Mus musculus: one gene and its partner. Each later gene encodes a partner of the first gene's protein in a complex. Links are inferred from orthologs where the notes say so. Each region holds a gene or a part of one and is shown on either strand. Other genes may lie near its edges.

Region 1 (4,291 bases):
GTCCAGAGCACTCTGCTCCTCCTGTAGAAGGCTCCATTGCTGAGCTGTGCAGACTCAGTCACCATCGAGGCCACGCCCACTTCCCAGATGGAGAAACTGAGGTGGAAACCAGCAGGCCAGAGATCACAGAGGGGACAGGGTTTGTGTCTGCCACCCTGTCTCACGGTCTTTCCTCCAGACCACTTGGGCCATGTATGTGTGTGTGTGTGTGTGTGTGTGTGTGTGTGTATGTATTATCTTGCCGTTGCCTCTTAGCCTTTTTTTCAGTGTCCCAGAAGTCTCAGAATGTTTCTTCACTGTCAGGACACTCCAGGATAGCAGTAATACACCCGTGTCTCTCTAGTGACCTCCTCAGGGGTGAAGTCCCCGAAGGAGAGGCCTGGGAGCAAAGGGCAGGTAGATCCATTTCACAGACTTTTGTTTCTATGGTTACTCTACAAAATGACACACCTCAGGCAAAAGCTTGCAACCTTGCCAGCACGTTTTTTTTTTTTTTTTTTTTTTTTTTTTTTTGGTTTGTCGAGACAGGGTTTCTCTGTATAGCCCTGGCTGTCCTGGAACTCACTTTGTAGACCAGGCTGGCCTCGAACTCAGAAATCCGCCAGCTTCTGCCTCCCGAGTGCTGGGATTAAAGGCGTGCACCACCACCACCCGGCTACCAGCACGGTTTTTTTAACCTTCTATGTTTATATCCTGTTGCTTTTACGAAGCAATGAGACTGTTTCATTTATGATATGTTTTATGTCCCCACCCCCACCCCTTGGGTCTCATGTACCCCAGGCTATCCTTGATCTCCATTTGTAGCAGAGGATAGCCTGGCTTTGGTGGATGAATTCCCCATCCTCCAAGTGAATCTCCAAGTTCGGTCGATTCGGTTTTGGGGATGGAACTCTGCCGACTGAGCTGCACCCTAGCTGCTAAGCACCCCATTCTTGGAATTAGGATTCCTGGCTGGTTTGTTGTGTGGCCTTTACCAGGCACACCCCCTCCTGGGACAGGTGATTATATGCCCATAGAATACGAGCGTTGGATGAGATAGACGGTTTCTAGACTGCCCCTAGAATAAGGGCCTGGGATGAGATGGTTTCTAGAGACCCTTTCAGGTCAGAGAATCCACAACTCCACAGTACATTTTTAAAGTTCGGGATGACTTTGTAATAATCAGGACCTGCCTGCTCATGCGCCATCACTGTAGCCTCCCAGATCACAAACGTTCCCAATGACAGGGGACTCAGGTGGTACTTAGGCTTTCGAGCTGGCGCTGGGCTCTGGCAGCCACACTTATACTTAGTCTCCCTTTATGAGGGGATAATAACACTCATTTGCAGCGAAGCTCCAGGTTGGGGCCACAGGGCAAGGTCCCCTGCCACACTGCTTTGGCCCTGGCAACGCACAGCACCCTATGATGCCCACCCAGCCCTCTGCCTGTACACTTAGATGACGTAGGGCTCACTACCGGCGCTGGCCTGGGGAAAGGGAAGGGTCTCCTCTTTTAGCCTTAAGAAAGTCCTTGGGTGAGGGAGAGGGAGACAGGCGATCAGGAGGTGCTGAGCCTGTTCCTTAGTGGGGACAGATGTCAGGAAATGAGGCAGAAGTGTCCAGAGATGGGCTTAAGCCTTTCTCTCCCTCCACATCCCTCAAGAGATGTCTGGAGGCGAGGGACGTGTAAGGACACATTCCTGTGCTGAGGCACAGGTGGTTATGAACAAGTCCCTGGAGCATTCGCAGAAGAGCAGGCTCTGAGACAGAAGGGCCACATGCTAGCTAAGGGACACTATCAGGATTGCAGCCACAGTGGGACCAGATTCCCCAGTTTCGCTAGTGAGAGTCCCCATCTCGAGAAGAATGCAACATAAGACCTTCATCAAAAGGCATCTTATAGAACTTCCCAGCCCTACACCAGAGGTCTTTAAAGATCCTGGAGTCACTGCACCCCTAGATACATGCTCAGTCCCCCAACCCCCGGAGACACTGTTTTCCTGGCAAGTGGACTGAGGACCGAGTGTGGTAGTACCAACCCTGTCCCACCAGGCTGGTACGCAGAACTGGGCTCCGGCAGCTGGCCAGGGCGCGGACCAGGACGTCCTTCTCCATTGCCCGAATGCAGGTGGGTGTTTGCTCGGCTCGGGTCCAGGCAGGTCTGAGGCTGAGATCTGGCCATTGCCAGCGCGGGGCTCCTCCTCCAGCTCCAGGCGATGAGCCTGGTCTGGGTAGCAGACTGCTCGCCCCACCCGCGCGCCCAGGTCGCCTCGGCAGGGACTCAGGGATGCTTCCTCCTCCACCGTTTCCCGGGACTGGAAGCTGAGGCCCCCGCGGGTAACCCAGCCAGGACAGGAACAATCACGACTCGGGTCCACGGGGCACCTGGGCCACACCGGGGCCTGTCGAGACTGGCTGCCGCGCCCAGGGCGGGCCGCTCACCGCCGCAAGAGGCGCGGGCGGTAAGGACTGGCCCCTAACCTCTGGAGCGCGAACCTGGGGGTCGCTGCTCCTAGTCACCCACTGAGGGAGCGGCCGCACCAGTATCCCGATGGGGAAACTGAGGACTGGAGCGGGGCAGAGCTTTGTGTGAGATCGTGCGGGGGTCTGGAGGATAGGTCTCCGCGACGCCGGGGACAGCATCCCTCCCGCCACAGAGCCGCAGCCCGGGCGCAGCGAGCGTCCCGCCCGGCCCGGTCCCACCCTACCTTGTTGGCTGCCGCGCAGGTGGCGGCGGCGGCGGCTCCGGCTCCCGCTCCGCGCTTCGCGCCGCCCGCCGAGTCCCCGCGCCCAGTGCCGCCGCCTCCCCGCGCAGCCCGGCGGGCGGGACCGGGCCGGGCGGGGTCGGGGCGGGGCGGGACGGAGAGGCCCCGCCTGTGCGCCGCCCGTCGCCCGCAGCTCGGTTCCCGTCCCGCGTGCACACACTCTCGCCTCCGACACGCTCTCGCCGCAGGCTTTGGGTGGGACTCGGGTCCCGAACCTCAGTTTCCCCTTGCTGAGATGGAGACTGTCATCGCGCCTGCCTCCCAGATGGCTCGAAGCTGGATCCCGCAGCGAGCGCCGGGACCGCAGCTCTGCAGGCGGCGGGAGAACTGGAGAGCGGAGGGCGGCTGCGCATCCGGGAGATCCTTCCCACTGCTGCCATTAGGGGGCGCTGCGTCCAAGCCGCTCCCTCTTTCAGCCGGGTGCTCACTGAATATGGAAGATAGGACGTCATATCTTTCATAATAACCACGCCACACCACCTGTCTTGGAAAGTGTTCTTCGTGTCTTGTAGTGATGTGTTTGGTGGGGGGCGGGGGGGAGGAGGGAGACTAGCACTGTACCTGGCACAAAGTAGGTATTGTATATATTGTTAACTAAGAACACAATTTATTACATTTGATCTACCAACGCCTTCAATGTAGTCATAATACTCCCATTTCATAGACAAGAAGTTGAGACTTTAGCTGAGTTCTTGGTAGGCTCTATAACAAATTTAATGTGTGTGTGTGTATGATTTGTGATGGTGGGATTGAACATTAGGACCGTGCATATGCTTGCCAGGCAAGTATTCTACCTTTGAGCTACACTGTGAGACCTCTCCTCTTTTTCTGAAACAAGAGTTCACTAAATTGCTTAGGTTGGCTTTGAACTAGCCATCTTCCTCCCTCAGCCTCTAGGAGCTGGGATTGTAGGACTACACCACCACACTCAGCTCTGGTGAGTCCTTGATCACTTTAGAACAGCAGTCGCTAAAGCCTTCCTCTAGTTCCTGCTGAACCACAGGGCCCTGGGCCGGTTTTCTTCCTAGAGCTGTGGGTTTCCCACGTCTGAATTCCCCCTGCATCCCGCTTGGAGCTGCACTGGCAGAAGCACACAGCGCACAACCGCAGCAGTTGGACCTTTGCCCTCAAGGGTCCATGGTAATCTAAAACATTTTTGTCACTTTTTAACGAGTGTGTGTGTGTGTGTGTGTGTGTGTGTGTGTGTGTGCAAACTTTCAGAAGTTAGTTCTTTCCTTTCATCTTATTTCTGCAATGCTACATATTCCTGGCTGACTGTCCCTGAGCTATCGGGCAATATATCAGATGCCTCCCATCTCCAAGTAGGAGGGCTGCATTCAGCTTTTTACATGGTTCCTGGGGACAGGTCTCAGGCTGCCTGGCTCCTGAGACAGCACTATCACCCTCTTAGGCATTTTACCAGCCCATTTATTAATTTTTTTAAGGAGGGTCCCACATAGCCCAGGTCGGTCTTAGACTGTCTATGAACTAAGAAGAACCCATGAACTCATTCTCCTGTCTACCTCCTAAAGGCTGGGGCCACCATG
Region 2 (4,140 bases), on another chromosome or scaffold:
CCAGGCAATGGGTTTGACCCCTTGTACTACCTAAACTGTGCTTGCGCATTGTAACAAATTCCTGGAGTCCTAACACTAAGTGGCAGGGTCAGTGGGTCGGAAGTTTAAGGTTGTCCTTCCTTTATAGGGAGGTTGACTCCAGCCTGGTAGAGACCCTATACTGTCTCCCAAAAGTGGGTGAAGTAGATGAGAAGTGCACTTGGAGTGTTTGGAAGACGTGAACTAGAGTGCCAGGGTAAATAAACACATGAAGAGTGCTGGGGAGGAGTTAGCTGAGCAGGCCAGGGGAGGAGAGTACTACATACACAATAGTTGGTGCTAAGCCAGTCACGGTGAACAGTATTTCCCAGAAAACAGCAAGGCCTGGGTGGAGGGGGCAGAATTAGCAGTCATGGACCTTGGGAGCCTTACTCTTCTCTCGTTTCTGCTTGGCTAACAGATTCCGGGACCCAAAATCCCAGCGGACACACCAGGCTCAGGTGGCCTTTCAGGTGTGTGTGCGCCCTGGCTCCTATACTCCTGGCCCTCCCTCTGCGGCCCTCAGAGAACTTCCTGACCAGCACTTCAGCCCATCGGAACTTGAGTGGGTCACTAAGGAGAAGGGAGCCACACTCCTCTATGCCCTGCTGGTACGAGTGGAATAAGGGGTGACATACCACTACTCCAAGCACAGCCGGGCCTCAAGCCCAGGACTCTTGAATGACGACTGCCTCCACCTCATTCCCGTGACTGAGAGCATGTCCAGTGCTGTCCTGGCAAGGAGGAGCACGTAGGCAGGCTTTGATTTAGAGCAGGTGTGAAGCACATCTCTACATTCAGGGCCCAGCACACTCCCTCTGCTGAGAGGGAGCCCAGCTCGTCTCGGGGTCCCCCCTTCATGCACTGACTTGGGGAACATGACTCCCTATTATTACCCTCCCCCATATCACTTAATTTATTTCCGTTTTTGTTTCTGGTTACTGTGAATCCCAAAGGAGTCTCTCTGTGCCCACATGAAGCTGCTTTTTCCGTGGCCACTGGGCGCCATGGGGAGGGAGTGGGTAAAAGGAAGGGCTGCCCGAGGACGCTGTGGGCCTCTGTACAGTTGTTACTGACTCTGATTTCTAAGGAGCCAATAAATACTGTCTTCAGAGCATCTGCCTCCGCCTCTGTCTCCCGCGGCCTCGCGAGTGAAGAGTTCTAGGGGCTTTATCATCCCAGGCCGCTCTGTAAATCCACATGGAGTTTGGACATCCCGGCACCCGTCTCTAAGCGCTTCCGCCTTCCCTTTCCTCCAATCGGCTGTGCCGTTTGCCGTCGTGACTCCGGAAGGATTTATCCTGGCCGCCGGATATGACGTAGAGGCCAAGGCGCGCCGAAGGCCTCGGAGAAAGCGCCGACAAGGCGGGTTGCGGGGGTTGGCGCCAGGGCTACGAGGGAGGGGCGGGGGCGCGGAGCCTAAGACCCTCGCACGCGCCCCGGCGCTGAGGCAGAGACCCCGGAGGGACGCTGGTGCCCGGGACACGTGATCGAAGTGGCGAGCGGGCGGCGGACGGGCTTCCGCTTCGGCGCGTCGCAGTCTCTCTAAGCTCCCACTTCCCTGCAGGCCCCGCCTGAGGTCTGGCAGTCAGTGAGAGTCGGGTGCCCACTGCCCAAGCGTCACCAACAGCATCATGCCCGCACTCCTGGAGCGCCCCAAGCTTTCCAACGCTATGGCCAGGGCTCTGCACCGGCACATCATGATGGAGCGGGAGCGCAAACGGCAGGGTGAGCCTGGGCCAGAGCGGGAGGACAGACACTCGGCTCAGGGTGGCCCTGCTACCCACGAACTTGCCCCCATCCACGGGCCCAGCTGTGCGCCTGCTGGCGAGGCTAAGAGGGAGGCAGCGGCGCCTTCGGGGTGTGAGTGAAGAGGCCCAGTCTAAGTTCCAGACCAGAACCCTGGGCTGGGAAGGACCTTGGAGAGCACCTAATGAAGCCAAGTTCTCCCTGTGGCTGTGATGGAGTAACTGGTTTTTGCTGGTCTTCAGTCTAACGCTCAGCTTATTCACACCGCCTTGCCACTTCCCCGTTCTGATTCTTCAGAGGAGGAAGAGGTGGACAAGATGATGGAACAGAAGATGAAAGAAGAGCAGGAGAGAAGAAAGAAAAAGGAAATGGAAGAGAGAATGTCACTAGAGGAGACCAAGGAACAGGTAAGTAGCCTCTCCACACTTGTTTCTCGATGCCTTCTTTTCCCTGCTTTAGCTGCTCGTCCCTCTTCCAGATCCTGAAGCTGCAGGAGAAGCTTTCTGCTCTACAGGAGGAGAAGCACCAGCTTTTCTTGCAGCTCAAGAAAGTTTTGCATGAGGAAGAAAAACGGAGGCGAAAGGAACAGAGGTGTGATGAGATGGCTAAAAGTAAAATTGTGCAGTGGCACAGGTGACAATCTAATAGCAAGAGGCTAACTGACCTGTCTTCCTTCCACTCCAGTGACTTAACCACTCTGACATCAGCTGCATACCAGCAGAGCCTGACGGTTCATACAGGAACCCACCTCCTCAGCATGCAGGGTGAGAGGACTGAGGAAACCGCCTAACAGGGGAGTTCTCCAGGAGGTCGCTGCCTATTTTAGCATCGTGAAACCTCTCCCCCTTTCTAGGGAGCCCTGGAGGACACAATCGCCCAGGTACTCTGATGGCAGCTGACAGAGCCAAGCAGATGTTTGGACCACAAGTGCTTACGGTGAGGGAAAGGTTTTTTGATTTTTTTTAACTCTTCAGGCTGGCTTTTTAAGTTACTAGCCAAGACTAGTCTTGAAATCTGATCCTAACTCCATGTCTCCTCCTTCTGTGGATCAGTACTGTTAATCCCAATCATTCAAGAACAAATATACCAAGCATGTGTATGTAGGAGCTGAGCGTAAAGGCATATATATATACATATGGGGTTTTTCCTAAGCAGTGAGCTTTCATTTCCCCTTAGACCCGGCACTACGTGGGATCAGCAGCTGCTTTTGCAGGAACCCCAGAACATGGACAATTCCAAGGCAGTCCAGGGGGTGCTTATGGGACTGCTCAGCCCCCACCTCATTATGGGCCAACACAACCAGCCTATAGTCCTAGCCAGCAGCTCAGAGGTGAGTGTTGTTCTCCTCAGACTAGGGGCAAGAAGAGCAAGAGCATCAAACCCTAACAGATCATCTCCCACCTTCCTCAGCCCCATCAGCATTTCCTGCAGTGCAGTACCTATCTCAGCCACAGCCACAACCCTATGCAGTGCATGGCCACTTTCAGCCCACTCAGACAGGTGAGATCCCCCTGGGCAGGAGCCCTACCTTCAGGAGTCCTACTGCCACCTGCTCATTTCAAACTCTCCTCCCCTCAGGGTTCCTCCAGCCCGGCAGTACCCTCTCTTTGCAGAAACAGATGGAGCATGCCAACCAGCAGACCAGCTTCTCGGACTCAGTGAGTATGGAGTCCTGGGAGGCCAAGGTGCTAAGATGAGGGGAGCCCCAGGATGCCTCCCTTTAAGGTCAGCTTTGTCTCCTAGTCTTCTCTGCGGCCCATGCACCCCCAAGCTCTGCATCCAGCCCCTGGACTCCTGGCTTCCCCCCAGCTTCCCGTACAGATACAAGCAGCAGGGAAGGTAAGGCTGGCAATCAAACCTACATATACTACCAGGGAAAGACTAACCTCTTACTGTAACTGTCCCCTCCCCCTTGTGCTGAGTGCTGGAATACCTACCCACTGATAAAACTCTTATCATTACCAGTCAGGCTTTGCCACCACCAGCCAACCTGGCCCCCGACTCCCTTTCATCCAACACAGCCAGAACCCAAGATTCTATCACAAGTAACCACCAGAGAGCTCCAGCCCACCCTCCATCCCTCAGGCTGGGGTCTTATGTGCCCCAAACCAATAAAATGTACAAAATGTACCCACCATCATGCCTGAGTGCTGTTTATTTGCTTCCTATCCAACTGCCTAAACCACAAAGGCTACTATGAAGTCTCAGCATTTCTAGATTCTAAAAGTACCTTTCAATCAACAAATAAACAACTGAGTTGGGGGCTTCATATTAAACTTGTAGTTTTATTCAGGTTTGATTTTTAACAAATGTGTCAGGGAGAGAGCCCACAGGAAAGGGTAAAGCCCGTGGGGGCAAGGCCTTCCCAGATGC

What was found.
Region 2: Coro2a (region 1) and Gps2 share a complex: the UniProt entries of both Homo sapiens proteins name them as parts of the N-Cor repressor complex. The link is inferred for Mus musculus from reciprocal best matches to the Homo sapiens genes CORO2A and GPS2.

The regions. Positions count from the first base shown.
Region 1 is NC_000070.6:46,599,130-46,603,420, forward strand, and holds the start of Coro2a (coronin-2A), read right to left. Parts: upstream 2,801-4,291; 5' UTR 2,688-2,800; intron 1-2,687.
Region 2 is NC_000077.6:69,912,688-69,916,827, forward strand, and holds Gps2 (G protein pathway suppressor 2), read left to right. Parts: upstream 1-1,332; 5' UTR 1,333-1,652; coding exon 1,653-1,746; intron 1,747-2,064; coding exon 2,065-2,174; intron 2,175-2,245; coding exon 2,246-2,358; intron 2,359-2,451; coding exon 2,452-2,531; intron 2,532-2,620; coding exon 2,621-2,703; intron 2,704-2,943; coding exon 2,944-3,097; intron 3,098-3,177; coding exon 3,178-3,267; intron 3,268-3,345; coding exon 3,346-3,425; intron 3,426-3,510; coding exon 3,511-3,606; intron 3,607-3,732; coding exon 3,733-3,816; downstream 3,817-4,140. Other genes in the region: Neurl4 (neuralized-like protein 4), read left to right, coding at 440-644. UniProt on the Homo sapiens protein: Key regulator of inflammation, lipid metabolism and mitochondrion homeostasis that acts by inhibiting the activity of the ubiquitin-conjugating enzyme UBE2N/Ubc13, thereby inhibiting 'Lys-63'-linked ubiquitination.